Linked DNA regions of Anolis sagrei. The protein of the gene in region 2 interacts with the protein of the main gene of each other region in a pairwise test. Links are inferred from orthologs where the notes say so. Each region holds a gene or a part of one and is shown on either strand. Other genes may lie near its edges. The genes, in order: CDC73, ALAS1, zinc finger matrin-type protein 1 and DUSP19.

Evidence for each region.
Region 1: the proteins of ALAS1 (region 2) and CDC73 interact in a two-hybrid assay, tested with the Homo sapiens proteins (3 studies listed by BioGRID and IntAct). The two-hybrid records come from large-scale screens. The link is inferred for Anolis sagrei from reciprocal best matches to the Homo sapiens genes ALAS1 and CDC73.
Region 3: the proteins of ALAS1 (region 2) and zinc finger matrin-type protein 1 interact in a two-hybrid assay, tested with the Homo sapiens proteins (2 studies listed by BioGRID). The two-hybrid records come from large-scale screens. The link is inferred for Anolis sagrei from reciprocal best matches to the Homo sapiens genes ALAS1 and ZMAT1.
Region 4: the proteins of ALAS1 (region 2) and DUSP19 interact in a two-hybrid assay, tested with the Homo sapiens proteins (3 studies listed by BioGRID and IntAct). The two-hybrid records come from large-scale screens. The link is inferred for Anolis sagrei from reciprocal best matches to the Homo sapiens genes ALAS1 and DUSP19.

The regions. Positions count from the first base shown.
Region 1 is NC_090024.1:116,057,575-116,065,313, forward strand, and holds the start of CDC73 (parafibromin), read right to left. Parts: upstream 3,327-7,739; 5' UTR 3,090-3,326; coding exon 2,959-3,089; intron 1-2,958.
Region 2 is NC_090022.1:69,143,317-69,151,294, forward strand, and holds the start of ALAS1 (5-aminolevulinate synthase, non-specific, mitochondrial), read left to right. Parts: upstream 1-4,562; 5' UTR 4,563-4,684; intron 4,685-7,978.
Region 3 is NC_090026.1:52,619,142-52,627,122, reverse strand, and holds the start of zinc finger matrin-type protein 1, read left to right. Parts: upstream 1-4,596; 5' UTR 4,597-4,644; coding exon 4,645-4,759; intron 4,760-7,981.
Region 4 is NC_090021.1:187,170,060-187,177,390, forward strand, and holds the start of DUSP19 (dual specificity protein phosphatase 19), read right to left. Parts: upstream 3,271-7,331; 5' UTR 3,078-3,270; coding exon 2,846-3,077; intron 855-2,845; coding exon 808-854; intron 198-807; coding exon 45-197; intron 1-44.

The DNA.
Region 1 (7,739 bases), on a different chromosome or scaffold from region 2:
TTAACAAACGAATACATCCTATAGATAAAATTGTTAAGTGAGCAAATGATTTAGCTACATTTTCCTGATTGCATATATTTGGTTTCATTTATTGAATTCTGGGTTCTTTTCTAAAGCAATAGGGCAAATCAGATGAATTAGTCACCACTATCTTTTACAGGATGAAAGTTAATCTAATTGCAGCTGACTTTGATACATAAATGCCAGTATGCAAAGAGGTCTTGCAGCACCTTGGAGATTAAGTGAGAGAAAGATGTTGGTACCATAAGTTTTTGTAGACAACCTCTACTTCTTCAGATGCACAGAACTAGAATGTTTCCATCATCATTCCAAGACAGAAATTAATAAGAAATATAATTTACTAAATAAGTTCAGCCACAAGGAATAAGATGCTATATACAGTCTCAGGAAAATTCTTAACAGTGTCATCAAAGAGGCTGACACAGGAGGAGCTGTAGTAATCATAGGGAAACTGGACTACATGGGAAGGCTGAGTGGCAACTGTCAAATTCATGCATCTGTGGAAGTAGATTTCAAACATGAAAGCTTATACTACCAACACACTTCTCTCAGTTAAGTCTCTGAGATACCACAAGATCCCCTTTGTATATTGATATTCCAAATGTGCACGCCTATGCCTTTAAAGAAACAAAAACCATTAGGAATTATTCCCAGATAAGTGTACAGTGAGTTGCTAGATCAGCTCAGGCGTAGCCTATCCAGTTCAACCAGGGTTTCCCTTTGCATACTGTATGAAACAACCCTGGGAATTTATGCCTAAATGTTTGGGTTAGGGCAGACACCACCCTTTACATTTTATGATCAAGATGGAAAGATTGCTTCAAGCAAAGGCAATAATAAGGAAGAGGAAACGATATAATTATGTTACATTATTCATCTCATCACAACAGCTCTTCAATGAGAAAGAAGAGTAGCTAATTGTTTTAGTAATAAAAACACATGTTTTGGTTACATGGACCTGCTTTTGTCTGATGAGATAGGATTGTTGTTGTTGTTGTGTGCTTTCAAGTCATTTCAGACCTAGGTTGACCCTGAGCGAGGGCCGGGTAAATGACCCTGGAAGGCCGCATCTGGCCCCCGGGCCATAGTTTGAGGACCCCTGTTCTAGAGGCATTCTCTCCTGACCTTTCACCTGCATCTATGGCAAGCATCCTCAGAGGTGAGGTCTGCTGGAATTGGGAAAAAGGGGGTTTATATATCTGTGGAATGACCAGGGTGAGACAAAGGGCTTTTGTAAGTTGGGCTAGGTGTGAATCTTTCAACTGACCACCTTGATTAGCATACAATGGGCTGACAGTGCCAGGAGCAAACTCTTCTTGAAAGGTGATTAGATGTCCCTGCCTGTTTTTCTCTCTGCTGTTTTTGCTGTTGCAATTTTAGAATTTTTTGATGATGAACTGAACCACCTCAACTGGGCTCTACAGGCCAATGGATATTCCACCTCAGACATCAGAAGAGCTGCAAGACCAAGAACAAGCCATGAGAGTCAAGATGAAGATCCACCCAGAGGAAAAGTGTTCCTGCCATACATCAAGGGAACCACTGACCGCATAGGGAAGCTGATGAGGAAACACAACATACAAACAATCTACAAACCCACCAAGAAAATCCAACAAATGCTACGTTCAGCAAAGGACAAGAGGGATCCTCTCACCTCTGCAGGAGTCTACCGTATACCATGCAGCTGTGGACAAGTCTACATAGGGACCACCAAACGCAGCATTGCCCAAACACGAATCCAGGAACATGAAAGGCACTGCAGACTACTCCAACCAGAGAAATCAGCCATAGCAGAGCACCTGATGAACCAACCTGGACACAGCATTTTATTTGAGAACACAAAAATGCTGGACCACTCTCACAACCACCATGTCAGACTACACAGAGAAGCCATTGAAATCCACAAACATGTGGACAATTTCAACAGAAAGGAAGAAACCATGAAAATGAACAAAATCTGGCTACCAGTATTAAAAAATTCTAAAATTGCAACAGCAAAAACAGCAGATAGAAAAACAGGCAGGGACATCTAATCACCTTTCAAGAAGAGTTTGCTCCAGGCACAGTCAGCCCATTGTATGCTAATCAAGGTGGTCAGTTGAAAGATCCACACCTAGCCCAACTTACAAAAGCCCTTTGTCTCACCCTGGTCATTCCACAGATATATAAACCCCCCTTTTCCCCAGCTCCAGCAGACCTCACCTCTGAGGATGCTTGCCATAGATGCAGGGACATCTAATTACCTCTCAACAAAAGTTTGCTCCAGGCACAATCAGCCCATTGTATGCTAATCAAGGTGGTCAGTTGAAACATTCACACCTAGGTTCTTGTGGGTTTTTTCGGGCTATATGGCCACGGTCTAGAGGTATTCTCTCCTGACGTTTCGCCTGCATCTATGGCAAGCATCCTCAGAGGTAGTGAGGATGCAGGCGAAACGTCAGGAAAAATGCCTCTAGAACATGGCCATATAGCCCAAAAAAACCCACAAGAACTTAGTGATTCCAGCCATGTAAGCCTTCGACAATACATTCACATCTAGCTCCAGAAGACAAGAGTCCTTTGTCTCACCCTGGTCATTCCACAGATATATAAACCCCCTTTTTTCCCAATTCCAGCAGACCTCACCTCTGAGGATGCTTGCCATAGATGCAGGCGAAACGTCAGGAGAAATGCCTCTAGAACATGGCCATATTGCCCGAAAAAACCCACAAGAACTGAGTAAATAAATATATTGTTGTTGATGATGGTGATGATGATGAGGCCCCCTGCAGTCTTTGGCAGAGAAAGTTAGGGAGGTTCAACTCTATAGCTTCTAAAGTGGTCTGGAACTGCATCCATCCCGCAGTGTGGCAGTCCCTTTTCTCCACTGAAGGCACCTGGCGAGGCACCCTCCCCTTCCTCCTCCTCCTGGCCCGCCCCTCCCTCCCTCCGACTCACCCCCAGATGACATAGTTGGTCTTGACGTTCTTGGGCCAGGAGAACTCGCCGAAGATCACCTCGTCCCCTTTGACCACGATCTCCTTCTTCTGCGTGTTGTACTGGCGCAGCACGCTCAGGACGTCCGCCATGGCTTCCGCCTGCCGCCTTCACCCCTTCCTTCCTTCCTTCTTTCAGTCAGTCAGTCAGTCAGTCAGTCGCGCTCTCTCTCGCTCGCGACTGCCGAGAGCGCGCTCCTTCCTTCAAGGCTCCCCTCACGCGCCCCCGGCCTTCGCTGACAGGGAAACAAACAAACCGACCGAGCGCGAGCCACCGCGCGAGCTGCCTCACGGACCGCCCGACTGGCCCAGCCACCGTCCTGCGCGTGCGCAGAGAAAGCAACAGAGGAAAGAGGACCCCGCAGGGCTGCCCTCGCTGACGCCTGCGCGGAAAGAGGACCCAATCGCCGCCCAGCTTTCTTGGGGTCCTTTTCGAGGCTTGTCCATGGCGCTGAGAGCGCTGCTGAGGCGGGAGCTGCGTCGCTGCTCTTGGCTCAGGTGGGTGGCATCCCGTCGGGCCTTTGCCTTCTCAAGTAGGCCTTTTGCCTTCACTCTGTCTTACCTCTGTTGACAGGCCGTTTTGGGTACGCATGCGCATTGTTGCCGCGCTCAGCTTGGGTCTCTCGGAAGACTCTTCCACACAGGCCTATATCCCAAAATATAAAGGCAGAAAATCCCACATTATCAGAGTGTGGACTCGGATAACCCAGTTCAAAGCAGATTTGGGGCTGTGTGGATGGGCCCTCGCTTACATCGCAGGAGAACACTGTGTTCCTAACTCGTCCTGTAGTGCAAGCAAAGAAAAAGGTACGATTTGGCAGTGAAGTCTCTTTGAAGGTGTAACTTCAGTTCCAATCTGGAGGGAATAGAGTGCCTCTGAGCATGTACAAGGTGAGGCAGCATAACTTCCTTTTTTCCAAACTTATCAAGGCAGAAACTCCCACATTATCTGCTTTGAACTGGAATATATGGCAGTGTGGACGCAGTTAACCCAGTTCAAAGCAGATAATGTGTTTAAGGAACTCCACTGGCTCCCGTTTATATTCCGAGCCCAATTTAAGGTGCAGGTGCTTACCTACAAAGCCCTGAACGGTTTGGGACCAGCCTACCTGCGTGACCGCATTTCCATCTACGAACCCTCGCGTTCTCTTCGGTCATCTGGAGAGGCCCTGCTCGTGATCCCACCGGCATCGCAAGCGCGCTTGGTGGGGACGTGGGACAGGGCCTTTTCCGTAGTGGCCCCCCAACTCTGGAACACCCTCCCCAAAGACCTTAGACAGGCCCCTTCATTGGCTATCTTCAGAAAGAACTTAAAAACCTGACTTTTCCGATGCACCTTCACAGATTAGGAAATCTCCACTACCGAGTCCCACAAGCACTTTACCACAACCAATGATTGCTGCACACCGCACATTGCACTTGCCCTAGAAACCCTTTATACACCTCCTGTCAAATCAGCACTTTTAATCCTTGTACCCACCTTTTGGCCCGGCCCAGTTTTATTGTGTTTTAATGTACTGTGCCTGTTGTTTACTTTGCTTTATTTTGTTTTAATTGTTTGATTTGCTTGATTGTATTGTTATGTTGTGTTGTTGAGGCCTCGGCCTGTGTAAGCCGCATCGAATCCTTTGGGAGATGCTAGCGGGGTACAAATAAAGTTTAATAATAATAATAATAATAATCTGCCTTTATATTCTGGGCTCTATGGCTTTCTAGAAGTGCCCTAAGGCTGGATCTGCACTGCCTTAAATCCCAGTATCTGATCCCTGATCATCTACTTATCCCAGATTTTCTGGCAGTGTGTATTTAGGGCCCTTCCACATAGCCCTATATCCCAGAATATCAAGGCATATATCCCACAATATCTGTTTTGAACTGGGTTATCAGAGGGCCCTTCCACACAGCCCTATATCCCAGAATATCAAGACAAGAAATCCCACATTATCTGAGTGTGGACTCTGATAACCCAGTTCAAAGCAGATAATGGGATATAGGGCTGTGTGGAAGGGCCCAGAGTCCACACTTCCGTGTATCTCGGTTCAAAACTGAAAATGTGGGATTTTATTCAGCTGTGTGGAAGGGGCCTCTGCTTTGAACTGGAATATATGGCATTGCGGACTCAGATAACTCAGTTTGAAGCAGATATTGTGGGATTTTTCTCCTTGATATTCTGGGTCGCCCTTCTTTGATTAGCGACGATTTGATTTGATAGCACACTCAAATCTTTGGTTTTTGTGGTCCTCTGTTAGGAGTTTCGGGACCCAGTGGGAGCACAGTTTCCTAAACTTTAGGTGTTCAGAAACAATGTTGTAAAGCACTGATCTCGACACGTCAGGAATTCGTTTGAGAGACCTGTTATTGTGAAGCGCCTGTTCTCACGAATCCTCGCTTCAACTGAAGCCACCAAATCATCTGTAATCAAAGAAGGGCGACCAGAGCGGTCCTCATCATGGACGTTGTCACGGCCATCTTTGAATTGTCGTACCCACTTACGCACTTTGCTTTCACTCATAACAGTATCACCGTACACTTCACAAATCTGTTGATGAATTTCTGCAGCAGGCAAGTTCCTTGCTGACAAAAACCGTATCGCTGAGCGAACCTCACATGCGGAGGGTGAGTTGATAGTCTTAAACATTTTTAAAGCACAGAACAGAACTGTACAGGTTAGCTACAGAGCGGAAACTGAGCACAGTTGTTCCCGAGGCATGCCAGTACACGACGCACGTGCTCGTTGCGATATGCGCGTGAACTACTAGTGTTTACAACAAAACGGACCTTACTTTAAAAATACCCCTCGTATATAGAATCAGACCCCATGTGATCTTAAAGGCTAAACAGGATTATCCCTGGTTAATACTTGGATCGGTAACAGCGCAGTGGTTCTCAACCTGGGGTCCCCAGATGTTTTTGGCCTACAACTCCCAGAAATCCCAGCCAGTTTACCAGCTGTTAGGATTTCTGGGAGTTGAAGGCCAAAAACATCTGGGGACCCCAGGTTGAGAACCACTGAGCTAATGAATCCCAAGTGCTCTGAGCCATATTTCTGAAGGAGGAACTGGCAAAAATACCTCCTTGTGTAAGAAAGCTCTATAAAAGTCATGGAGTCACCGTAACTTGACAGGCAACACATATTGTATGATGTTAAATATTAATATTAAAATCACAGTTCAGAAACCTGTGTGATAACTAAAGATAATTGCTGATATCGTGGACACATAACAACATAAGTTTTATCTACCTTGAGAGAAATATCTGTTCCAATCTGGAAAAAAGTAAAGAAGAATGTAAATACATAATATATCTGCAAGCATTTGGAAATTTTCCGTGAGTTATGATAAAAAAAATTCCATGTATTTTGGGGAAAAACATTACACCTTATTGGTTCAAGCTCTCCCAAGATCACATGGGAAGTTGTGTTCACAAAAAGGAATTTTCCACGATCTTCCCTCAAAACTGCTGTAAGGGGAATAGTTAGGCATACCACAGTGAAGGCTCTGCAGTACATTTGAGCAGGGAATTCAAGAGTGAGTTTGTCTGTTTGAAAGGTTGGACTACCCTGCCAGAAAAAAACAGCTATAATAGCAGGTAAGTCCAAATCATGTTAGCTTTCAAATTTTGATGTGTTGCTTAAGTCAGTTCATACTCTGGAGAGATCAAGTAGCTCATATCCATGTTGCTAAATTTGGGAGGCAAGAATTACTTCTAAACTCTGGAAATCATCTTATTGAATACTAGCCTTTCACTGCCACGCATTGCTATGGCCCAGACTGGTGATCTGGAAAATAAAGTAATGAGAAAGTGTTGGTTACTAATATATGTGATGTCTTTATGCTTGTGGGTAAACAGTATTTCTTATTGTTTCTTTGTCAGTGTTGATGTGGAGATTTTCTAGTTTGCCTACTCTGGGATATGTAACATATAATTGTCCTTCTTTAGGGGTCCCTTTCAAATCTATGATACTGTGTGTGTGAATCATATCTATCTATATCTATGGCTGGCTGGCTCTTTGTCAGGAGGGCTTTGATTACGTTTTCTTGCCCTGGTGAAGGGAATTGGACTGGATGGCCTTAAATATTTTCTGTTGGTCATGGGGATTCTGTGTGGGAAGTTTGCCCAAATTCTGTCATTCATGGGGTTCAGACTGCTATTGATTATAGGTGAACTATAAATCCCAACAACTACAACTCCCAAATGACAAAATCATTTTTTTAGAGTGATGATGACTCCTTGTGTTGTTAGGTGTATGCTATTCAATTCATCCAATGGTTTTTGAGTTACGTTAATCCCACAAACAAACATTACATTTTTATTTATATAGAAGTAGCGGTAGCCTCAAGTTGCAACTAACCTAACTCCTTGTTCTCCAAATATAGCTTAAAATTGTGTATGTTCAGTTTATCTTTCAATAAATTCCTGCTGGAAATACAGGTGCATAATTATACTGTAATCTAACATGCTCTCATTTAGGTTACATATTTACACTTCGGTAGGCTGAAATCCTGTAGCAGTTGCCCAAAAGTAAGCCCCGTTGAACGTATTGGATCTTTGAATACTATAGGATTCCCTTATTTATGTATTTATTTATTTATTAGAGATGGGAAACATTTGGTTGCCAGATTTAATTCACCAACAGCTCCTTTCAGCCCTAGACATGACAAAGGATGGTGGAAACATGGAGTCCTAACGACAATTGGAGGAATGCATTATGAGGTTGCTTTAAAAATGAATGAAAAAATACAA
Region 2 (7,978 bases):
GTATTGTATCATGTATTCTGCCTTTTTGTTCTCTTCCTTCCAAGCTTGAGGATCCAGTAATTCTGATTTGAACCACTCACATACCCTGTTCCACAAGTCCAAAACAGCTATATTTTGTTTGCTTTGGTTCTTCTTCTTAGACTTCTCTTTTCATTGAATACTTTACTGTGAGAAGCAGAAAAAAAAAATCAGCATCCAGAACTGGCTTGTTCTCCAACAGTGCTCCACTCATCCCCTTCCTAAGAGTATAAGAGAAGAGCAGATTAAACACAGGACCCTGTTCTAAATTGAATAACTCTTAAGTGATCACAATCCCCAGCTGTTGGAATTCAGTGAAAACAAAAAGGATTAAGATCAGCTTTTCATGGTTTCTGCGGGAAGAGTTTCTCAACTGACGCAGATGGCTCATCTCACTGTTTGAACTTGCTGGTGGATGGAGAACACATTCAAGATCATTGTAGCTGATACTTTTAAGTTTGGTCCTGAACAAATAAAGAAAGGCAACTCTAAAACAGAGGTCCTCAAACCTTTAAAGCCAAGGGCCGGTTCAAAGTCACTCAGACTGTTGGGGGACCATACTATAGTTTGAAAAAACCAACACAAATTTCTATACACACTGCACATATATTATTTGTAGTGCTAACAAACCCCAAAACAACAGTACAACATTTAAAATGAAGAAAAAATTTAACCAACATAAACTTACTAGTATTTCAGTAGGAAGTGTGGGCCTGCTTTGGCTGATGGAGATCGTCAAGATACAGTAATTAGAATTGTTGTGTGTCTTCAAATCATTTCAGACTTAGGGCAACACTTTGTCTAAATTTTAGGGCAGGGGGTGGATATATTATCTTGGAGGGCTGCATCTGACCCACGGACCTTAGTTCGAGGAGCCCTGATCTAAAATGTGGAGTACCTAAGCCTTTGAAAGGGCCAAGACTTTAAACCGTGATCAAAGAAAAGTACAGAGAGGAGTAACAGACACATGTAGAGATGTGCTTGCACCCCACAACTCAGGAGGCAAGCTTTGGACTTATCTATGGGTGCATCTAAAACAGATATGGTTTGGCCATTCACTGCCATGGCTCTATGCAGTGGAACCATGGGAGTTGTAGTTTTACAAAGCCTTTTTCCCTAACTGCTAAAGAGAGTTGGTGCCTCAACAAACTACAGCTCCCAGGATTCCACAGCATCAAACCACAGAAGTTAAGGTTGTGTCAAATTGCATTCATTCTACAGGTTTTTTTTGTGTCAGGAGTGACTTGAGAAATTGCAAGACGCTTCTGGTGTGAGAGAATTGGCCATCTGCAAGGACGTTGCCCAGGGGATGTCCGGATGTTTTGCTATCCTTGTGGGAGGCTTCTCTCATGTCCTCGCAAGGGGAGATGAAGTTGACAGAGGAAGCTCATCCACGCTCTCCCTGAATTCGAACGTCCGACCTGTCGGTCTTGAGTCTTGCCGGCATAAGGGTTTAACCCATTGCACCACCGGTTCAGGCATGGGGAAACTTGGCCCCTCCAGGTGTTTTGGACTTCAACTCCCACAATTCCTAACAACTCGAGGGCCCAAGTTTCCCCGTGCCTGGTGTAGATACAACCTACATAAACTTTCAGACCAGTATTCCCTCATGGATAATGAATGGTGCCAGGTCCTAACCTTTGAACTAGCCGTTCCATAATCAGGAAAGACACACACTGAGCACATGCAGAAAGCCTTGCCCTCCTTGTTGGGTAAACACAGACAACTCTTTTGAAATGTGAGTTTCCAAAGTATCGAAGGTACTCTGATATTTACAAACAGATAGGCACTCCTTCGCAGTACTAGTAGTTACACTTTTGTTAAAAACTGGGCTGCCCTTGAGTCAAACAGTGTTGTGGGTAAACAGTTTAGAGGGGTCACCCAGCCAAAGCCTATATCCCTCGAAGGCAAATCCCTATATCCCCTTCTGAACAAATCTGGGCAATAAAGCCCCATAAGAAGTTCACCAGAGGGTCACCATAAGCGGAAATGGCTTGGAGGCACACAATAAAAACATTCACATGATACTAGAATCATAAAACTAGGCGTGGAAATAAGGCAGCAACCCCATGCACTTTACTACCTCTTCTGTGCCCACAATCTTCCCCATTCTTTAGCGCTTGAGGAAAGTTACTTTTTGGCCTACAAATAAGCACAATTGATGTGCCAATCATTTCATGTAGTACTTTTATGTTGCATTTCTTTGTATGAAAACAGCCTATGATCCAAAGCATTAATAAACAGCAGCTACATATACACTATGGCGGCCGCAAGATATAATGCCCACCATTTGATATCCAAGTTCCTGCAATGGTAGCACACTGATGCAGTCATCAGCCTCTGACAATAGGTATATTTACAGCTGGTAGGCTGTTCGGAATTGTGGGAGTTGAAGTTCAAAACACATAGAGGGCTGAAGTTTGCCCATGCCTGATCTACATTGTAGGATTAATGCAGTTTGACACTATTTCAATTATCATGGTTGCATGCTCCAAGTCGCTTCTGATGTGAGAGAATCAGCTGTCCACGAAGACGTTGCCCATGGGATGCCTGGATGTGTTATGATCCTGCGAGGAGGCTTCTCTCATGTCACCACTGGAGCATTGCAGCACATCAAAATACCTGGGAGTCACTCTGGATTATGCTCTGACTTATAAGAAACACTGCCTGAATATCAATCAAAAAGTGGGCGCTAGAAATAACATCGTATGAAAGCAGACTGGCACAACCTGGGGATCACAACCAGACACAGTGAAAACATCTGCCCATGTGCTTTGCTTCTCTGCTGCTGAGTATGCATGCCCAGTGTGAAATACATTGCACCATGTTAAAACAGTTGATGTGGCTCTTAATGAGACATGCTGCATCATCACAGGATGTCTACGCCCCACACCACTGGAGAAATTATACCGTTTAAGCACCTGATATCTGTCAAGAAGGAGCAGCCAATAATGAAAGGACCAAGACATTGACATCTCTGGCCTATCCTTTGTTCGGATATCAGCCAGCACGCCAATGTCTTAAATCAAGAAATAGTTTTCAACAGAGATACTCGCAGGAACACCTCAGCAAGCAAGAGTCCAAATGTGGCAGGCTAAAACCCGGAACCTCAAGCTATGGCTGATACTGAATGAGAGACACCCCACTGGGCACACAGAAGACTGGGCGACTTGGAAGGCACTGAACAGGCTGCCCTCTGGCACCACGAGATGCAGAGCCAACCTTAAGAAATGGGGCTACAAAGTGGAATCCACAACATGTGAGTGTGGAGAAGAGCAAACCACAGACCACTTACTACAGTACAGCCTGTGCCCTGCCACATGCACAATGGAGGACCTTCTTAGAGCAACACCAGCTTCTGGTCAAAGGAAATTTAGCATAATGCCAAGTTTTTAACTTTGTGTTTTAAATACATTTTAACTGTACACTCAATCCGCTTTTGAAATGATAAATAAGTAAATAAATGTCATGGCTCAAGCCCCATCTACACAGCCATACAATCCGGATTAAGGTAAAGGTTTTCCCCTGACATGAAGTCCAGTCGTGTCCAACTCAGGGGTGTGGTGCTCATCTCCATTTGTAAGCCGAAGAGCCGGCTTTGTCCGTAGGCCAGGTCATGTGGCCGGCATGGAGTGCCATTACCTTCCTGCCGGAGCAGTACCTATTAATCTACTCACATTTGCATGTTTTCGAACTGCTAAATTGGCAGGAGCTGGGTCTGTCAGCGGAAGCTCACACCGCTCCCTGGAATCAAACCTGCAATCTTTCGATCAACAAGCTCAGCAGCTCAGCGCTTTAACCCACTGCGCCTCCGGGTCCTCCATAATCCAGATTATTAAAGAAAATAATCCAGTTCATCTGCTTTGAACTGCATTATGTGTCTACACTGCCAGATAATCCAGTTCAAAGCAGATAGTCTGGATTTTTATATGCCAGTGTAGAAGGGGCCTCAGTGCTCTGGAATCGTGGGATCTATAGTTTCACAAGACGCCCTTCCACACAGCCCTATATCCCAGAATATGAAGGCAGAAAATCCCACAATATCTGCTTTGAACTGGGTTCCTGCCTTGATATTCTGGGATAGAGGGCTGTGTGGAAGGGCCCCTTGTGAAACTATAGATCCCACGATTTCAGAGCGCTGAGGCTCCTTCTACACTGACATATACAATCCATCTTTGAACTGGATTATCTGACAGTGTAAAGTTCATATAACCTTGGTCTTTAGCCTCCTCGGCCTAGTGCTTCACTGGGAGTTCCAGTGGGACCCAACTGTCTCAATTCTATAGCGTGACTTGAAGCTGTAGCTTTCCCAATCCCCACCCAGCTCCCTTCCCTTTTTTCCCTCCTCCTCCCCCCCCCCCCCCCCGACTCCGCTTTGGTACCGCCCGGCCTCCCTCTCCTTTCCTTCCCAACCAGGTCAGGAAGAAACTACGAGAAGCGGAAGGAGGGGGTGGAGGAGGAGAAAGTAGGGAGGGATTAAAGCTGGCCTCTTAGGATCGCCTTGACAATTGGGCGCATGCGCGGCTGTGGGGTGGGGGGGGTGGCGGCATTTGCGCATGCGCCCTGTCCCCTCGCGATTGGCTATATAGGGAAGCCAAGCTGCCGGGGCCGGTTGTAGAGAAGAGAGGAAGAGAGATCGCAGTTGTGAGGGTCGTTCATTGGAAAGGTAAGAGGGGGGAAGGAGTGCGCGTGCGCATGAGAGAAAATGAGCGCGAGGGGGGAACGAAGTGAAAGGGAAGGAAGGAGGGAGGGGAGCGCGCGCGCGCGGGGCCTAGTCGGTTTGGCTTTCCTCTCCCTCGGGCGGAGCTGTTCGTGGGGGCGGCCTCTTTCCCCTTCCATCTCTCCTTGACCTCGTCCCATTCCGGGCGCTGGACAGCTCCCAGGAGATGCCGTGGTTGAGGGGAGCCCTCTCTGCCCGGATTTGGGGGGTCTTTGAGTCTGCCTTGCCCTCTAAACTCCGAGGAAGAAGGTGGCCAAGGGAGGCCCTGTCACTCAAGAAGGGCAACCTCTTCCTCTCCCTTTCCTCTTGCCCTGCTTAGACTGTGTCCCTGTGTGAGGGTCAAGGGCAGGCCTGGGCAAACTTGGGCCCTCCAGGTGTTTTAGACTTCAACTCCCACAATTCCTAACAGCCTCAGGCCCCTTACTTTCCCCCCTCAGCCGCTTAAGTTTGCGTAAAGAAGAGGGAATGGGGCCTATCCCGGGCTCTTGGCAGAAAAGGATGCCTCTTACACTATTCTATTGTTGTAGACATTTATTATTATGGCTTATTATAATATTATAGTAATTATTACTATTACAATTAAATACAGGCAATCCCCAAGTTGCGAGCAAGACAGGTCCTTGTAGGTTTGTTCTTAAGTTGTATTAGTATGTATATTTTAAAAGTGTAACTCAATCTCTCTTAACAGAGCCCCCGGTGGCACAGTGGGTTAAACCCCTGTGCCGGCAGGACTGAAGACCGACAGGTCGCAGGTTCGAATCTGGGGAGAGGCGGATGAGCTCCTTCTATCAGCTCCAGCTCCTCATACGGGGACATAAGAGAAGCTTCCCACAAGGATGATAAAAACATCAAATCATCTGGGCGTCCCCTAGGCAACGTCCTTGCAGACGGCCAATTCTCTCACACCAGAAGCGACTTGCAGTTTTTCAAGTCGCTCCTGACAGGACAAGAAAAAATATCTCTGTTTCTCTCTCTCTCTCTCTCACTCACTCACTCTCACTATATATATATATGCTATGGATCACAAGGGGAAAGGTTGGCACCCCTGTGGTTGGGTTTTTTAAAAATTATTATTTTTGTTGTCTGTGCCTCTGTTCAGAAGATTTCACCTCACTTACTGTTCCTGTGATAATTCGATTTTGAAAAAAATGGCTTGTTGTGGAAACAAGGATTGATGAGAAAGCTTCAGTTGAGACACCTTTTCCCCATGATAACTCTTTCAGGACTGAATTTCCCTTCTGAGGGGTAGATTTCTTTCACTTACTGTTGTCTCATCCCAGTTTTTAATTATGAGTCGATTGTAAGTTAGATGTTTTTAATTTGGGGACTGCTTTATTATAATATCATATATTAATATTAATATTTGTTCGTGTCAGGAGCAACTTGAGAAACAGCAAATCGCTTCTGGTGTGAGAGAATTGGCCGTCTGCAAGGATGTTGCCAAGGGGACGCGCAGGTTTTTAAATGTTTTACCATCCTGTGGGAGGCTCCTTATGTCCCCGCATAGGGAGCTGGAGCTGACAGAGGGAACTCATCCACGCTCTCCCCAGATTTGAACCACTGACTGTTTAACTCATTTTACTACAGGGGGCTCCATAATAATAATAATAATAATAATAATAATATATTATGGAAGTAACACAGTTTGACCCGACTTTCACTGCCATGGAATCGAGGGAGCTATAGTTTGATGAGGCACCATCACTGTGGCAGGGAAGGTTAAAGACCATCAAGGGCTGCTGTGATTTTGTTTTGTGGTTTTATGTGTTTTTATGGTTTTAATCTGGATTGTTTTAATATTAATGTTGTTTAATACTGTTTTAATATTTGTATATTTTTGAAGTTGTATTGAAATGCTTTTAGTTGTGAACCGCTTTGATTCTTTGTATAGAGAGAAAAAGCAGGATATAAACATAGTAATAATAATAATAATAATAATAACGATCTTGTAAAATTATAGCTGTCAGGATGCCATAGCATTAAAGCATTAGACCATGGCAGTTGAAGTGGGGTCAAGCTCCATTAATTCTACAGTGACTTTGACCCCGAAGCCTGAGAGGGGAGGCTCAGGAATGAGTCCCATCTCATTCTGCTCGGGGGTGGGGGGAGGTAAAAGAGTGCATCTACACTGTAGAATGAATGGAGTTTGATCCCACTTACATTGCCATGGTTCAACAGTATAGACTCCTGGGCACTGTAGTTTAACAAGATCTTCTTTGCCCAAAAGTATTGGTGCCTCACCAGACTGCCATGATTCCATAGCATTGAATCATGAAAGTTGAGGGTATCAAACTCTAGTATTGTACAGTATAGATGCACCCATATTCTTGTATTGGGTCCCAATACAAGGGAAAAGGATAAAGGGAGGCCCTTTTCTCAGTCATTCCTAGTGAGCTGAGAGGGGAAGGGAAGGGCGTTGGTGTTGATCTCCAAAAAGAAATTAAAGTTGTATTCGGAAATGGTTGCTTGGTCTAAACCAAGATGAGGTTTCAGGATCCCATCTCTGTGTTTGTACTGGACCTAGATGAGAATCTGGGACAATCTTTCCCTCCACAAATCCTTTGCTTCACATTTTTTCCCTCACCTGCCTCTTGGTGATTTGAAAGCAGCAATCGAGTTCCTTGGATTTGCACATGAATACAGTTTATTGTGGCATAATATTCTGTTTATGAAAGCCTGCATGGAATATTAACTCCAGGCTTTGGTATAACTAAATACGTCAATGCAGGATCATGCTTCTGATATCTATCCACAAAATATTATGGTCTAAGAAATTGATTAGTTTCAAGACTCCAGAAGAAACCTAGTATAATTGTGTAATTCTGGAACAGACCGGAGTAAATGCCTTTTTAGAATTGGTGACTCAAGACTCCTTTGGTCTGTTTTCTCTGGTCTTTGTTTTTCTCTGTGTTCAGTGATATATGAATTTTGATCCCAGTGTTTTAAAGTTATTTTTCATATAGCTCAGTTCTTACTAAGGTCAGAGTTTTTTCTTTGCTTATGTAACTCTTGCCTAACTTGTAACTATTGTTGAATGGTTGTTTCATGCATTACACAACCTAATGTGCACTGAATGCTATGATCTGTAGGAATTAACCAAGAAATGTGTGTGTAAAAGCTTTCTGTATTTATTACAGTGTTTCTTAAGGTAAGCTATCTGTCAGATCTGGAACTAATAAAAAATGTCTGCCTGTATTTGAGCCTGAATTTGTGGGATGCTAACTGTTTAAATCTTGTTTT
Region 3 (7,981 bases), on a different chromosome or scaffold from region 2:
CTGTGTTTATAAGTGCATATGTATATTGTGTATATGTGTATGCTTGTCTTTATGCATATTTGTGTTTATATATGTGTATGTATGTGTGCATGTGTATATTTATGTGCGCATGTATATATTTGTGTGTAGATTTATGTGTGTGCATATCTGTGTGTGCTTGAGTATATATATATGTATGTGCATGTGTATGTGTATGGTGTATCTGGGGGGGTTTTAAGTCAGTTCTGCTGAGGGTTTTTTGTATTTTGAGGGGTAATGAAGAATTGTTGAACTGTTAGGTGTATTGCCTCAAAATTTCATGTCAATTCATCCAGTGGTTTCTGAGTTATGCTAATCCCACAAACGAACATTACATTTCTATTTATATAGACTAGCCGTCCCCTGCCATGTGTTGCTGTGGCCCAGTCTGGTGATCTGGAAAATAAAGTAATGAGAAAGTGTTGGCTTCTAATATATGTAATTTCTTTCTGCTTGTGGGTAAACAGTATTTCTTGCTGTTTCTTTGTCAGTGTTGATGTGGTGATTGTCTGGGTTGCCTCCTCTGGAACATGCAACATATCATTGTCCTTCTTTAGGGGTCCCTTTCAAATCTATGATACTATATCTCTGTGTGAATCATATATATCTATCCATATCTATGGCTGGATGGCTCTTTGTGAGAAGGGCTTTGATTATGTTTTCTTGCCCTGGTGAAGGGAGTGGGCTGGATGTCCTTAAGTGTTTTCTGTTAGTCATGGATTAACGTGGGAAGTTTGCCCCAATTCTGTAGATGGTGGGGTTCAGAACGCTCTTTGACTGTAGGTGAACTATAAATCCCAGTAACTACAACTCCCAAATGTCAAGGTCTATTTTCCACAATCTTCATCTGTGTTCATATTTGGGCATATGGAATATTTGTGCCAAGTTTGGTCCAGAACCTTCATTGTTTGAGTCTACAGTGCTCTCTGGATGTAGGTGAACTGCAACTCCCAAACTCAAGGTCAATGCCTACCAAACGCTTCTAGTGTTTTCTGTTGGTCATGGGAGTCCCGTATGCCACGTTTGGTTCAATGCCATGATTGGTGGAGTTCAGAATGCTCTTTGATTATGTTGTTGTTGTTGTTCATTCGTTCAGTCGTCTCCGACTCTTTGTGACCTCATGGACCAGCTCACGCCAGAGCTCCCTGTCGGCCGTTACCACCCACAGCTCCCTCAAGGTCAGTCCAGTCACTTCAAGGATGCCATCCATCCATCTTGCCCTTGGTCGGCCCCTCTTCCTTTTGCCTTCCACTTTCCCCAGCATAATTGTCTTCTCTAGGCTTTCCTGTCTCCTCATGATGTGGCCAAAGTACTTCAACTTTGTCTCTAGTATCTTTCCCTCTAGTGAGCAGTCGGGCTTTATTTCCTGGAGGATGGACTGGTTGGATCTTCTCGCAGTCCAAGGCACTCTCAGAACTTTCCTCCAACACCACAGTTCAAAAGCATCGATCTTCCTTCGCTCAGCCTTCCCTAAGGTCCAGCTCTCACATCTTTGATTATAGGTGAACTATAAACCCCATCAACTACAACTCCCAAATGACAAAATCAATTTTTGAGTGAAGGACATACATCAGGTTGTTAGGTATCTTGTGTCCAAATTTGGTGTCAATTCGTCCAGTGGTTTTTGAGTTCTTTTAATCCCACAAACGAACATTACATTTTTATTTATATAGATTGGCGGTGTTTGTATACGACCTTTCCCAACTCCGAAGGAGACACAGGGCGGTTCACAGTATGGTTCTCTGCCCCGTTCTCTGGGCTGAGAACCATTGTTTATGGAGGGTGTTGTATCCCCAAGGGATGGGACTCCCTTGGTGCCTGCTCCACTCATTGACTGACATTCACAATTCACATGGTGATCATTGAGGTGTGAAAGGGTGAGGGTACGAATGCCTGTTTACTGCCCCGCTTCTCTATGGGTTCTCCCTTGCAAATAATCTGCTCCTTTTATCTCTGTTTTCTGTTGGTCATGGGAGTCCTGTATGCCACGTTTGGTTCAATGCCATAATTGGTGTAGTTCAGAAGGCTCTTTGATTGTAAGTGAGCTATAAATCCCAGCAACTACAACTCCCAAATGACAAAATCAAATTTTTTTGAGTGAAGGACATACATTGGGTTGTTGGGTGTATGCTGTCCAAATTTGGTGTCAATTCCCCCAGTGGTTTTCGAGTTCTGTGAATACCACAAACGAACATTACATTTTTATTTATATAGATTGTATTTGTATGGTATTTATGCTGCTAGCATGTTTTGATGCTTATGTAAGGCCGCTCTGAGCCCCCCTTGTGGGGAGAAGGGCGGGATAGAAATATCTGAAATAACTAAATAAATAAATAATGCATGCAAATCCCAGTAAGGTGGCTTCTGCAGCTGGCAGGTGGTAGTTTTGTCAGCGACAATTGTATTTAAGTGCAGGCCAAGGTCTTGAGGCACTGCACCCAGTGTGCCGATCATTATTATTATTATTATTATTATTATCTATATCTATATATATAAAAATGCTCTGTGCATAATGAGTACCTTAAAAAAAAGAACCAATGAACAAAATCACACCAAATTTGGGCCCAATACAACTAACAACCCAATGTATGATTTTGTCATTTGGAAGTTGTAGTTGCTGGAATTTATACTTTACCTATTAATAATAATAATAATAATAATAATAATAATAATAATAATAATCCTTTATTTATAATCCACTACCATCTCCCGAAGGACTCAATGCAGCGTACAAGAGGCCGAGACCCAATACATCAATAAACAACACAACAATAATACATCAATAAATAACTCAAGCAATAGACGTTAAACAGCACAACGCAATTTAAAATCAGTGTCAGGGCCAGTTGTAATGGATTAAAAAATTTAAAAACTGGGCATGACCGGGTAAAATGGATAGGTATTTTTGGAGAAGATTTGGCGTGCAGACAATCCTAGATTTCTAGTAACGTACATTTGGGACAAAGTGCTTTGGGGTTTCCTATTCTGGGAAGGCACACTGGAACAGCCACGTTTTCAAACTCCTCCTAAAGACTGCTAGCGTCGGGGCATGCCTGATATCCTTGGGGAGTGAATTCCAGAGTCGAGGGGCCACCACAGAGAAGGCCCTGTCCCTTGTCCCCACCAATCATGCTTGTGATGCAGGTGGGATCAAAGAGCATTCTGAATCCCACCAACGATAGAATTGGGCCAAACTTGGCACACAGTTTTCCCATGACCAACAGAAAATACTGGAAGGGTTTGGTGGGCAGTGTCCTTTGGCTTTGGAGTTGTAGTTCACCTACATCCAGACAGCACTGTGGACTCAAACAATGATGGATTTACTAGGTTCTTGTGGGTTTTTTCGGGCTATAGAGCCATGTTCTAGAGGCATTTCTCCTGACGTTTCGCCTGCATCTATGGCAAGCATCCTCAGAGGTAGAGGTCTGTTGGAATTAGGACAAGGAGTTTATATATATCTGTGGAATGGCTGGGGTGGGGCAAGGAGCTCTTCCCTGCTGCAGTTAGGCGTGAATGTTCAGCTGATCACCTTCATTAGCATTTGAAGGCCTGCCTGCGCCTGGGAAAATCTGTTGCTGGGAGGTGTTAATCTGTGCCTGGTTTTTTCCTCTCTGTTGTTTAGCTGTTATAATTTTAGTTTTTTAATACTGGTAGCCAGATTTTGTTCATTTTCATGGTCTCTTCCTTTCTGTTGAAATTGTCCACATGCTTGTGGATTTCAATGGCTTCTCTGTGTAGTCTGACATGGTGGTTGTTGGTGTGGTCCAGCATTTCTGTGTTCTCAAATGATGGATTTGGTCCAAACTCTACACGAATGCTCAATATGCCCAAATGTGAACACTGGTAGAATTTGGGGAAAATAAAATCTTGACATTTGGGAGTTGTAGTTGCTAGGATGTATAGTTCACCTACAATCAAAGAATATTCTGAACCTCACCAATGACAGAATTGGGCCAAACCCCCACACAGAACCCCCATAAAACGGTACAGTGAGGCATACATTTTTTTGTGTGTCAGGAGAGACTTAAGAAACTGCAAGTCGCTTCTGGTGTGAGAGAATTGGCCATCTGCAAGGATGTTGCCCAGGGGACGCCCGGATGATTTGATGTTTTTATTATCCTTGTGGGAGGCTTCTCTCATGTTCCCGCTTGGGGAGCTGGAGCTGACAGAGGGAGCTCATCCACCTCTCCCCGAATTCGAATCTGTGACCTGTCGGTCTTCAGTCCTGCCAGCAAAGGGGTTTAACCCACTGAGCCACCGGGGACTCCCAGGCATACATTGGAACTCCATTTCAATTCCAGCTCTCGTACCCCCGTTACAAGAAAAGGCAATCCAATTCTCCAGACCTTTCCCAGATCCCACTCCCAAAGCAAAGCCTCCCAAAGCAAACTGAGCCTTGCCGCAAATAGAATCCGAGGCGGTAGCACAGAGCGAGGAGACACCGCTGATTGGACAACGCGCGGTGACTGCTGGAAATCACGCACCAATCAGAAAAGTGGGGAGGAGACGGTTTGAAAGTAGACCCGAGGGAGAGCGGCTGCGACTTCCTACATCCGGGTTCCTGCGTCGCCTCTCTGGCCTCTCGCGCGTAGTGGGCGGGGCCTGCTCCGCTCCGCTCCCGCAGTCATGGCGGCGGCACCTGCTGCTGCGCCTGCCTTTGCTGCGGGGCGGGAGAGGGCAGAGGGGGGAGGGGGCGCCCCTTCCCCCGCGGGGCCGACACCCCCCCGCGGCCAAAGAGCAGGTGAGTGAGTGAGTGAGGAGGGGGAAAAGGAAGGAGCCCGGCCAGGCAGAAGGAGAGCCCTCCGCTGCTGAGGGCCCAGGGCGGAAGTGACGCGGAGGGGCAACAGTGAGGAGTGACTCCTGCTCAGGTAGAGCGCCTGCTCCTCCAGCACTAGGCCGCACACACCTAGGTCCAGGCGAGGATGATAAAGAAGGGGCAAGCATGTGTTCCTCCAGGTGTTTTGGACTTCAACTCCTACAATTCCTAATAACTTGTTAGGAATTGTAGGAGTTGAAGTCCAAAACACCTGGAGGGCCGCAGTTTGCCCATGACTTGGTCAGACCCACTTTGAATCTAGGGCAGTGGTTCTCAACCTGTGGGTCCCCAGATGTTTTGGCCTTCAACTCCCAGAGATCCTAACAACTAGTAAACTGGCTGAGATTTCTGGGAGTTGTAGGCCAAAACATCTAGGGATTCACAGGTTGAGAACCACTTGTCTAGGGGGTGCATCCCATAAACAGAATCCTGAAATACTCCCAAATTTGCTGATCTGTGTGGGTCAGTGAGGGACATTTTTGCTTTTTGGTGGTTCAGCACACACCAACGTCGATTATTGTTATAATATTTATACCCACTTTATCTCCCCAAACTCAAAACAGCTTGACATAAAAGTATTTGCATACAATTTAAAATAAATATGCACCTATTCAAACACAATCAGCACTAAAAAAAAGTGTGCTTCGTTTACACCCTTGTTGAAAACGTTCGATCTTTGTATTTGTATACAATCTAAAATACACAAATATGCACCTATTCAAACACAATCAGCACTAAAAAAAGTGTGCTTCATTTACACCCTTGTTGAAAATGTTCTATCATTGTATTTGTATACAATTTAAAATACACAAATATCCACCTATTCAAACAAACACAATCAGAACTAAAAAAGTGTGCTTCATTTACACCCTTGCTGAAAATGTTCTGTCTTTGTATTTGTATACAATTTAAAATACACAAATATGCACCTATTCAAACGTAAACACAGTCAGCACTAAAAAGTGTCCTTCATTTACACCCTTGTTGAAAATATTCTATCTTTGTATACAATTTAAAATGCACAAATATGCACCTATTCAAACACAATCAGCACTAAAAAAAAGTGTGCTTCATTTACACCCTTGTTGAAAATGTTCTATCTTTGTATTTGTATACAGTTTAAAATACACAAATATGCACCTATTCAAACGCAAACACAATCAGCACTAAAAAAAAGTGTGCTTCATTTACACCCTTGTTGAAAATGTTCTATCTTTGTATTTGTATACAATTTAAAATACACAAATATGCACCTATTCAAACGCAAACACAGTCAGCACTAAAAAAAAAGTGTGCTTCATTTGCACCCTTGTTGAAAATGTTCTATCCTTCAGGGTGTGTGTCATCATCAGCAATCACTTGTGTTTGAGTAGGATGACTTTCCAAGTGTAAGGTCTTGGCAGTGGGTTCGTAGCTAACAGTGGAAGCCAATAATAATCTATATAAATAAAATGTAATGTTCGTTCATGGAATTTACATAACTCAAAAACCACTGGACAAATTGACACCAAATCTGGACACAGTACACCAAGGGTCCTCAAACTAAGGCCCGGGTGCCGGATACGGTCCTCCAAGGTCAATTACCCGGCCCTCACTCAGGGTCAACCTAAATCTGAAACAACTTGAAAGCACACAGCAACAACATCAATCCTATCTCATCAGCCAAAAGCAGGCCGACACTTCCCATTGAAATAATAATGTTTATATTTGTTAAAGTTGTTCTTCATTTTAATTATTGTATTGCATTTAAGTGTTTTTTTTGCACTACAAATAAGATATGTGGAGTGTCCATAGGAATTCATTCATGGGTGTTTGCTTTTTTTCAAATTATAATCCGGCCCTCCAACAGTTTGAAGGACTGTGACCAGGCCCTCTGTTTAAAACGTTTGAGGACCCCTGATCTATATAAATAAAAATGTAATGTTCGTTTGTGGATTTACATAACTCAAAAACCACTGGACAAATTGACACCAAATTTGGACACAATACACCTATCAGGCCAACGAGTGACCATCACTCATAAACACACTGAAAAACACATCAGAAGGAACTTAAAAAGCCAAAAAGTTTTTAAAAATACATTACAACACATGCACAAAAACACATATACACAAAAACACACAAATATACACACACAACACACATATACACAGACTAGGCTACAGCAACGCATGGTAGGGGACGGCTAATATAATAATAAGACTATTTGTAACCCACCCTATCTCCCCAAGGGGACTCGGGGAAGTTTCCAGTAAAAGTGGCAAACATTCAGTGTCATAATAAAACATATAAACAAGAAATCAACACAATAAATAAAACAATATAAACTTAGAATGACTAACAACAATAACCAAAAAGTAAAAACTTAAATATGTTACATTATGCACATTTACCAACGTAATAAAAAAACTGAGTAGCTAAAATGCATTACAAATATGCTAAGAATTGTGATCCAACAAAATGTGGAGCAGTTCTAGATTTCTTCCCGTGGTCAAAAGTAGCGAAGGTTCGATGGATTCCTGTGGGCCAGTTCTAGTTAGAATTAACATTGAATTTAGCCCTGTAGGAGCTCTAACATCACAGGGGAGAAGGGGAGTCTGTTTGTTTTTTTCCTTTCAAGTTCAAGTTATTCTCAATTTTGTGTCCCACATTTCTGGCAAACACTCAAAATCGCATACACCTTAAAGTATAATAAAGTACAACGAAGTCGTGAGTTTGAAATCAAGAAAACATTTATTTGTGGTAGGAACTGCATTGAGTTAGTTTGTGTGAAGGGATTAACAAACCTCACTACACTTCCTCGGTGTGTCCAATGGGTGTTGAGATTCACAGACAATGCTCATTGGACACTGCTGGGAAAATGTACCCAGAACTATGTAGTAAAAATGTCAAGGACTTTCAGCCTATGAGGAATTGGGTGAGAAATCCAGTAACAGTGAGTGAAATTGTCAATGCACACACAAAAGCAAACCCCTTCAACAAGCAAGAAACAGAAAAACATCCTAAAATCCACCCCTGTGAGGTGGAGGAAGGTATTTCATTGTATAAAGTAACTTGATAATGCTTTAACTATGGAGTGGACAACTTGTGTGGTTTCCTAGTGAAGTTAAGTGTTGATTCCAAGCAGCCCTGGCTAGCATATCCAAA
Region 4 (7,331 bases), on a different chromosome or scaffold from region 2:
AATCCAGTGCACCAATGCTCAATAATCACATTCTACAGAATTACCTTTAATTTAACTTCCTCAATAAATTCAAAACATTCAGGGAAATAGGAGATAATGTCAGTCTCAGGAAGGTCCAAGATAGGGATGCTCTTGTATGTAAAGTCCTCAGGGAAGGGATTTTCAACTCCATAGGCTACATTTAGAACATGGGTGACCTGAAATGCATTAGACAGATAATAAACCAAGACAGCTTTTTAATCTTCAACTTCTGACATGGCTATGAACGTCAAACTGCAAGCAAAGGGATCTGGTACAAACACTTCCTTCACCTTCATGCCATGAAACCAAGGACAGGAATGAGAAAAAAATAGTTTTCAATAGACAGCTTTAAAATTGTCCTTATGTTTTCATATTTGAAATTGAAGAATCAATATGAAGATGAAAAATTACACTATGTAACAAGTTCCTGGGTTATAAATGTCATTTCCTAATTGGCTCTATCATAAAAACATGGAAAAAGTTTATTACGCTGAAAAATATTTTTACAGGATACCCTATAGCGTATTTTGCTCTTGTTTTCCAATTAATATCCTCATTGAGTCTCGACCAATTCAACGTAAGTTTGTGGCAGCCACAAAACGAAGTTTCTGGAGTGAAACAATTACTTTCAAAGTACATACTTCGCAATTAAACAGGAAGCAACACTTTCAAACCAGGAACAGAATTTTTCAAATTTTATTATAGACCGTTATGTGATTCTTTCAGGCTTTAAATATGCAACCACTTTTGTAAAAAAAAATCAAACAAACCCAAACATGTCCTCACCTTGTATTTTTTCATTGTGTCCAGATCATGAGCTGCATCTTGTGATCCTGTGATGAGAGAAGCTTGTATTATCCAAGGAGTCACCAAAGAATTACATAAAGTTGGCCCTTGGTATCTGTTGCAATTTGATATCAAAATCCATAGATGCGCAAGCATAGTTTAATGGTGCCCCGTACAGAAAAGAGCAAAAACAACATTTGTGTTTCGATTTAAAGAATATTTTAAACCTGTGGATTATTGTATTTGTGGAGGCAGATTCTATGGAAACAGAGGATCAACTGTACAGAAAATCTTTCAGAGGACTTTTATTCATAGTCACCTTCAAAGGCCCCTTCTACACTGCCCGATAATTATCAAAGCAGATAATCTGGATTTTATATGGTAGTGTAGAAGAGTCCAAAGACACAGCTGTGACAGTCTGGAATATCAATATGCAAAGGGAACTTTGTACCAACTGGCTACCAATTTTGTTCTTGAAGTTATTGTCTTAAGATGCTACTGTCTTAAGATGCATACTCAAAGGGTTGCCGTAATTTGAAACCAACTTGACACAAATTAACATCAGGAGCACTCTGGACACCAAAGAAACATGCAAAAACAACAACATACTGAGTATGAAAAAATATGGAGCCAACAAAGAATGGGTCAAAGGAGTGAATCTATCTCAGACCTTTCCAAGCATTTCATATTGGTGATATTCTTTTTAGACATGCATCATTCTGTTACACAGTAATACAGTCTCTTTCTGCACTGTCCTTATATTCCAGATTCTGAACCCAGATTACCTGCATATCCCATATTATATGGCAGTGGAAACTCATATTATCCAGTTCAAAGCAAATAATCTGGGATTACATCCTGAGATATAGGGCAGTTTTACTAGCAAAACTGGAGGTTAATCTAACCCCTTATAAAACATTCAACAGACAGACTGGGGACTGTAAAATAAGAAGATGAAAGGAAAGGAAGACTAGAAATATCTGACCATCAAAGAGTAGATAAAAGTGATAGAACATTTTTTACATTTTTTCTCTTCTTACAACTTCCCTTTATTTTTCTATTTTCCTACTTTTTTTAACATTATTATTCCCCCACTTTACATGTATAAGAAACCCTTTTTCCACTTTAATAAAAATCAATTAAAAATCTAACCCCTTATAAGAGATACGGAGACATACATAAACTGTAATAACAAAATGTATGAGCATACAACATATCTCATGAAAACCTTTTGTGTATTTGTGTGAATATATATATATAATTTTATTTCACATAAACTTCTATACTACCATATAAAATCAATCCAGATCATTGTGAGTTTTCCGGGCTGTATGGCGATGTTCCAGAAGCATTCTCTCCTGACGTTTCACCTGCTTCTATGGCAGGCATCTTCAGAAGTTGTGAGACCTCACAACCTCTGAAGATGCCTTCCATAGATGCAGGCAAAACGTCAGGAAAGAATGCTTCAGGAACATAGCCATACAGCCTGGAAAACTCATAACAGAGGACCTCACAACCTCTGAGGATGCTTGCCATAGATGCAGGTGAAACGTCAGGAGAGAATACCTCTAGAATATGGCCATATAGCCCGAAAAAACCTACAATAACTCACAAAAACCTAGTGATTCCGGCCATGAAAGCCTTCGACAATACATCAATCCTGATTATCTGCTTTGAATTGGATTCTAGGGCAGTGTAGACTCATATAATCCAGTTCGAAGCAGATGATGTGATAATCAGGATATGTGGGAGTGTATAAGGTTGCTCATCACATTTGGGTGATACGCCTGCACAGTGTGTTCAAACACACTAAGTTTAGAAAGCTGTGATCTCCTCTGCAGAATGAATGCATACCACTTTAACTGCCTTGGATGAATGCTATGGAACCCAGGCCCTCCAGCTCCCAGGCTTCCATAGCATTCGTCCTTGGCTGTTAAAGTGGTACGCGTTCATTTTCCAAAGGAGCTGCACCCAAGGCTTTCCATGCCTCCTGATTAAAGCAGCGGGTGGCCATCCCAATGCAACGCCTCCCACCCACCTAGAAGCAGCCAGGGCTTGAGGAGCCCGACTTGGAGGTCCAGGCTGAGGTCCTGCACGTATCCGCAGGCGGGCCCCCCGCCGTCCTTGCCGTCGGCCACCTCCACCGCCTGCAGCCGAGCATCCTTCCAGGTCTCGATGAGCCTCCTCCCGGTCAAAGTGGTCACCCGGGTGCATTGCCTGCGCAGGTTAGTCTTGGAGAAGGATCGGATCTCCTGGGTGAGCGAGTGCATCACATGGGCCAGGGGAGGCGAACACAAAGCAAAGGCAAGTGCCCACGACCGACCCTTCTTCCTTCCTTGCTCTTCCCCAGAGATGCCTAACCATCTGCAAGCAACAGGCACAGGCAGGCAAACAGAACAGCCTTGTGTTTCTTGTGAAAGTCAGCTCTGGATTGGCTACAGAAAGCCGGCTTCCGATTGGTCAGAGGGCTTCTTTTCTTTCAGCCTAAGTGGGGTGTCTAGTAACAGGCACGCGCCTCCGTCGCCTTTGCACTGTGTGATGAATATGACTCCACTTTGAACAGCCAGAACTCAATGCTAGGGGATCCTGGGAGTTGTAGTTTTGCAGAGAAGTACCGCACAATTAATCAGGAAATGACACTTTCAAACCAGGAACAAAAGATTGATCAAATTTTGTTACATAGTCTTTTAGCTCCCATCACACCAAGCCATGGCAATTAAAGCGGTGTCAAACTGCATTAATTATACACTGTAGATGCACTCCCATACCACATGTGGCTCCACAAGGAAAGTATGTTTATTTCTATGCATTCCTAGGGGCTACACCTAATATTGATGTTGAGCATCTCATCTGAAATTCTGAAATACTCCAGGGTTGAAATAGCACCAACTTTAATTTATGATCATTCAGTGTTGACAAATATTGTTTAATGCACAAAATTATTTTAAACTAGCTGTCCCCTGCCATGCTTTGCTGTGGCCCAGTCTGCATATATGTGTTGTGTGTGTTAATATATGTGTGTGGCCATATATGTGTGTGTGTGTGTGTGCGGTATGCACATGCATTGTATATTTTTGGGTATTTTTTGCTTTTATTATTTATTTATTTATTTACTTTGCTTATATACCGCTGTATCTCAAGCCCGAAGGCGACTCACAGCGGTTCACAAACAGTAAAAACAGTAGAAACAGCAGTGGTTCCATACAACATATAACAATTGACTTAACGCATTATCCATAAATTACCAATAAGCAATTACAATGCACAGTTATTACAAAAAACAACCGTACCCAATCTTCTCATCATCTAAGCGTAGTCCAGGTTCGTCGTCCATTGTTCCATTCCTATGTTCCATTACCAGATTGCACTAAATTACTCAAACGCCATTGATGCGGAGCATCTTTACCCCCCCCCCCCTCAAGTATTTGTAGTTCGCCAAGGGCCGGACAATGGATTCTGTTGCTTCCTGACCCAGCACACATAACTGGGTTCCTGTTTCCTCTTTGTGAATTCTCTGGCTTGTGCACTGGACTATGGACTCTGCTACTACCCAACCCAGCTCCCCCTTCAGCTCCAGCTCCTGTTCCTAGAAGGAGCCAATCTTCTGTTGACCAACCCGGACCTTGGACTGATCTTCTGGTGGCCAGCCTGATGCATGGACTGGCCCCTGCACCCAAAACCCTTCCGTCCAGACTTTGGGACTTCTAGTTCTTTCCTCTCTCTTTTTATGAAATGAATAAAATATTTTCTTATTACTGTGGATTGGGGTTGGGATGGGTGGTGGGTGGTGATATATGGAATGCCTGTATACTGGTGATGCCTATGGTTTATGAATATGAAATATGTAACCCCTATGAACTCCTCTGTATCCTCACCCCCTTGACCCTCGCCCCACAAGAAAACCAGCGTGACCAGGAACTGCCTGGGGACAGAGCCCAAGCCTCTTTCCCCCAAATCACCCATTGATTGACTCATTTTGCATGGACAATGCTGCTGGCCCCAACCCTAGCCCTCGGAGCATGGCCAGCGAAGGAACAAGGGTCAGCAGAGCTTCGGAAAAAGAGACTGATTAATTCACCCAGATATTGTTGACCCTCCGGGTGGTCCGATATCGATCTAGCCTATTCAAATTCCCTGCCAGACTCATCAAGGACAGGAAAGCCTTTGTTTGTCAAACATCTGGAGACATTTTTCCTTTGTTTCGCTGAGCACATGGCATTCCTTTGTCTGCAGATTCCTTTCCCAGATTCCTTTGTGCTCCCTCATCCCGCCCCCATTTCTCCTGATTGGCTGTCGCCACCATGTGACAGAGGTCTCCCCATTGGATCCTACAGACCACTGGAGTTTCCTGATTGGTACAGAGGCGCCAGGGGCGGGAGGGCTGCTTCCCAGGTGTCCGCCCATCACCCAATCACAGCGGGGAACACCTGAGGAGCCGGGGCAGAAGGGTTGAACTCTGGGTTTTCAAAAATTGTATAAATATGCCTGCATCACTGTACCCCACCATGCTTTGCAGTGGAACGATTCCTGTAAATCATCCATTCAGCTGAATCGCAAATAAACGCCTCGATCCTGGTCTCCTTTCGCCTCTGGTGAGCTGATTGCTTTTAGATAACTTTTGCGCTCTTGGATTGGCTTCCGGAAAGATCTCACCAAGGTTTCCAGGACCCTTTTTGGTGCGGTCCTTGGGCTCTCCTTCCTGGGGGAGCCCCCTAAAAGAGCTCGATAACACCTGCACAAACATCCAGGTCTTCACCTTTTTGCGGAATACCATTAGAGATGGTGCTAGTCTAATGTCCGTAGGAAGGGCGTTCCACAGCCGAGGAGCCACCACCGAGAAGGCCATATCTCTCGTCCCCGCCAGCCAAGCTTGAGAAGCAGGCGGGATCGAGAGCAGGGTCTCCCCGGAAGATCTCAAAGTCCTGGTGGGTTCATAGGCAGAGATGCGGTCAGAGAGGTAGCTTGGGCCGGAGCCGTATAGGGCTTTAAAGGCCAACGCCAGCACTTTGAATTCAGCCCGGTAGCAGATCAGTAGCCAGTGGAGTTGGCGCAACAGGGGGGGTTGTATGCTCCCTGTGCGCCGCTCCTGTTAAAATCATGGCTGCCGAGCGTTGGAGCTTCCGAGCTGTCTTTCCTATAGCGCACAGCACGGAAGAATTGATCAGCAGCTGAACAGACTAGAGGGGGTTGGGGGACTGACTCAACAGGATGGAAGTTGTAGTTTACCCTGCATAAAGACACAGCACTGTGACCCCTACCGACAATGGGCCTGGACCACATTTGAAACACAGAACCCCCATGACCAGGTTTGGGGGAAAGCTCTATCTGGAGTAGGTGGGTGTATTTATATATTCGATCCCAAGACTGTTTTCTAGATGAAATATTATAATGGGAGCAAGAGGCCATGGAATGCATGTTGCTGTGTGTAGACCGTCTGACCCCACATGGCTCTAAGCATCTACTAAACGAGACTGCTTCCTAAAATGGCTTTATCCTAGGTTCTGCTGCCAACTTGAATCTTCAGCATAAGCTCATACCATGACTTTCCTTGAGTGAACAGTTCTGCTATTTTTAATTCAGTAGATTTGTCCCAGAACAGAAAAAAATATACTATGTAACAAAATTTGAAAAAGAATATGTTATGGTTTGAATTTATTATTTCCTGTTTAATTGTGTGGTACTTACATTGAAAGTAGTTGTCATATTCCAGAAACTTTGTTTTTGTGGCTGCCACAAACTATGTTGAATAGGTTGAGACTCTATGAGATATTCATTGAAAAACTATAGCAAAATGTGCTGCAGGATGTCCCACAAAAACAAAGGTTTTGCAATTTAATAAACATTTTCTGTGTTTTTATGATAGAACCAATTAGGAAATGACATTTATAACCCTGGAAGAAAAATTGTGTTACTTCTCTCTGAGCCCTGTTCTGCTAGGACGCCACAACTATTTCGAAACCTCTATTTGCTATTTAAGTGTTAACTTTTAAATCTCCTCGAAGTGTTTTTGATGGCCCTTCTAATTTGTTATGTAATCAACTACTAACATACAGAGATTGTATCTTAGTAGATCAAAAAAAAAACATTGTTGTTCAATCTTGATTTTGGTAAACCTTTCTGTACTGTCCCCCATTTTATTCCTGTTAATAAATTGGTAAAAGATGGGATAGAGATAATGGTATTGTTATGGGGATCTGTAAATGATTGATTGATTGATCAATCCACTAAAGTACTCAGTAGTCTTTGCTCATCACCCTGGAGAAAAGTGGTTCATCAAATACACAAATGGAACCAAACTGGATATAAGACACTTCTGTGCACTAAGTCATGCTAAAGGCATATTTCAAAGGTTCATTATTAATTTAGTTTCTTTTATTTCATGCATTTAGCACCTTTGTATGTGGGGATACGTTTTATTAATTCCCCCATGAAAATTACTGTGCAAAGAATTTTCATCAGCTGCATGCATTTACATTTCATATTTCAATAGAAATAAACTGAGTCTCTTTTTCTACTGATTCACT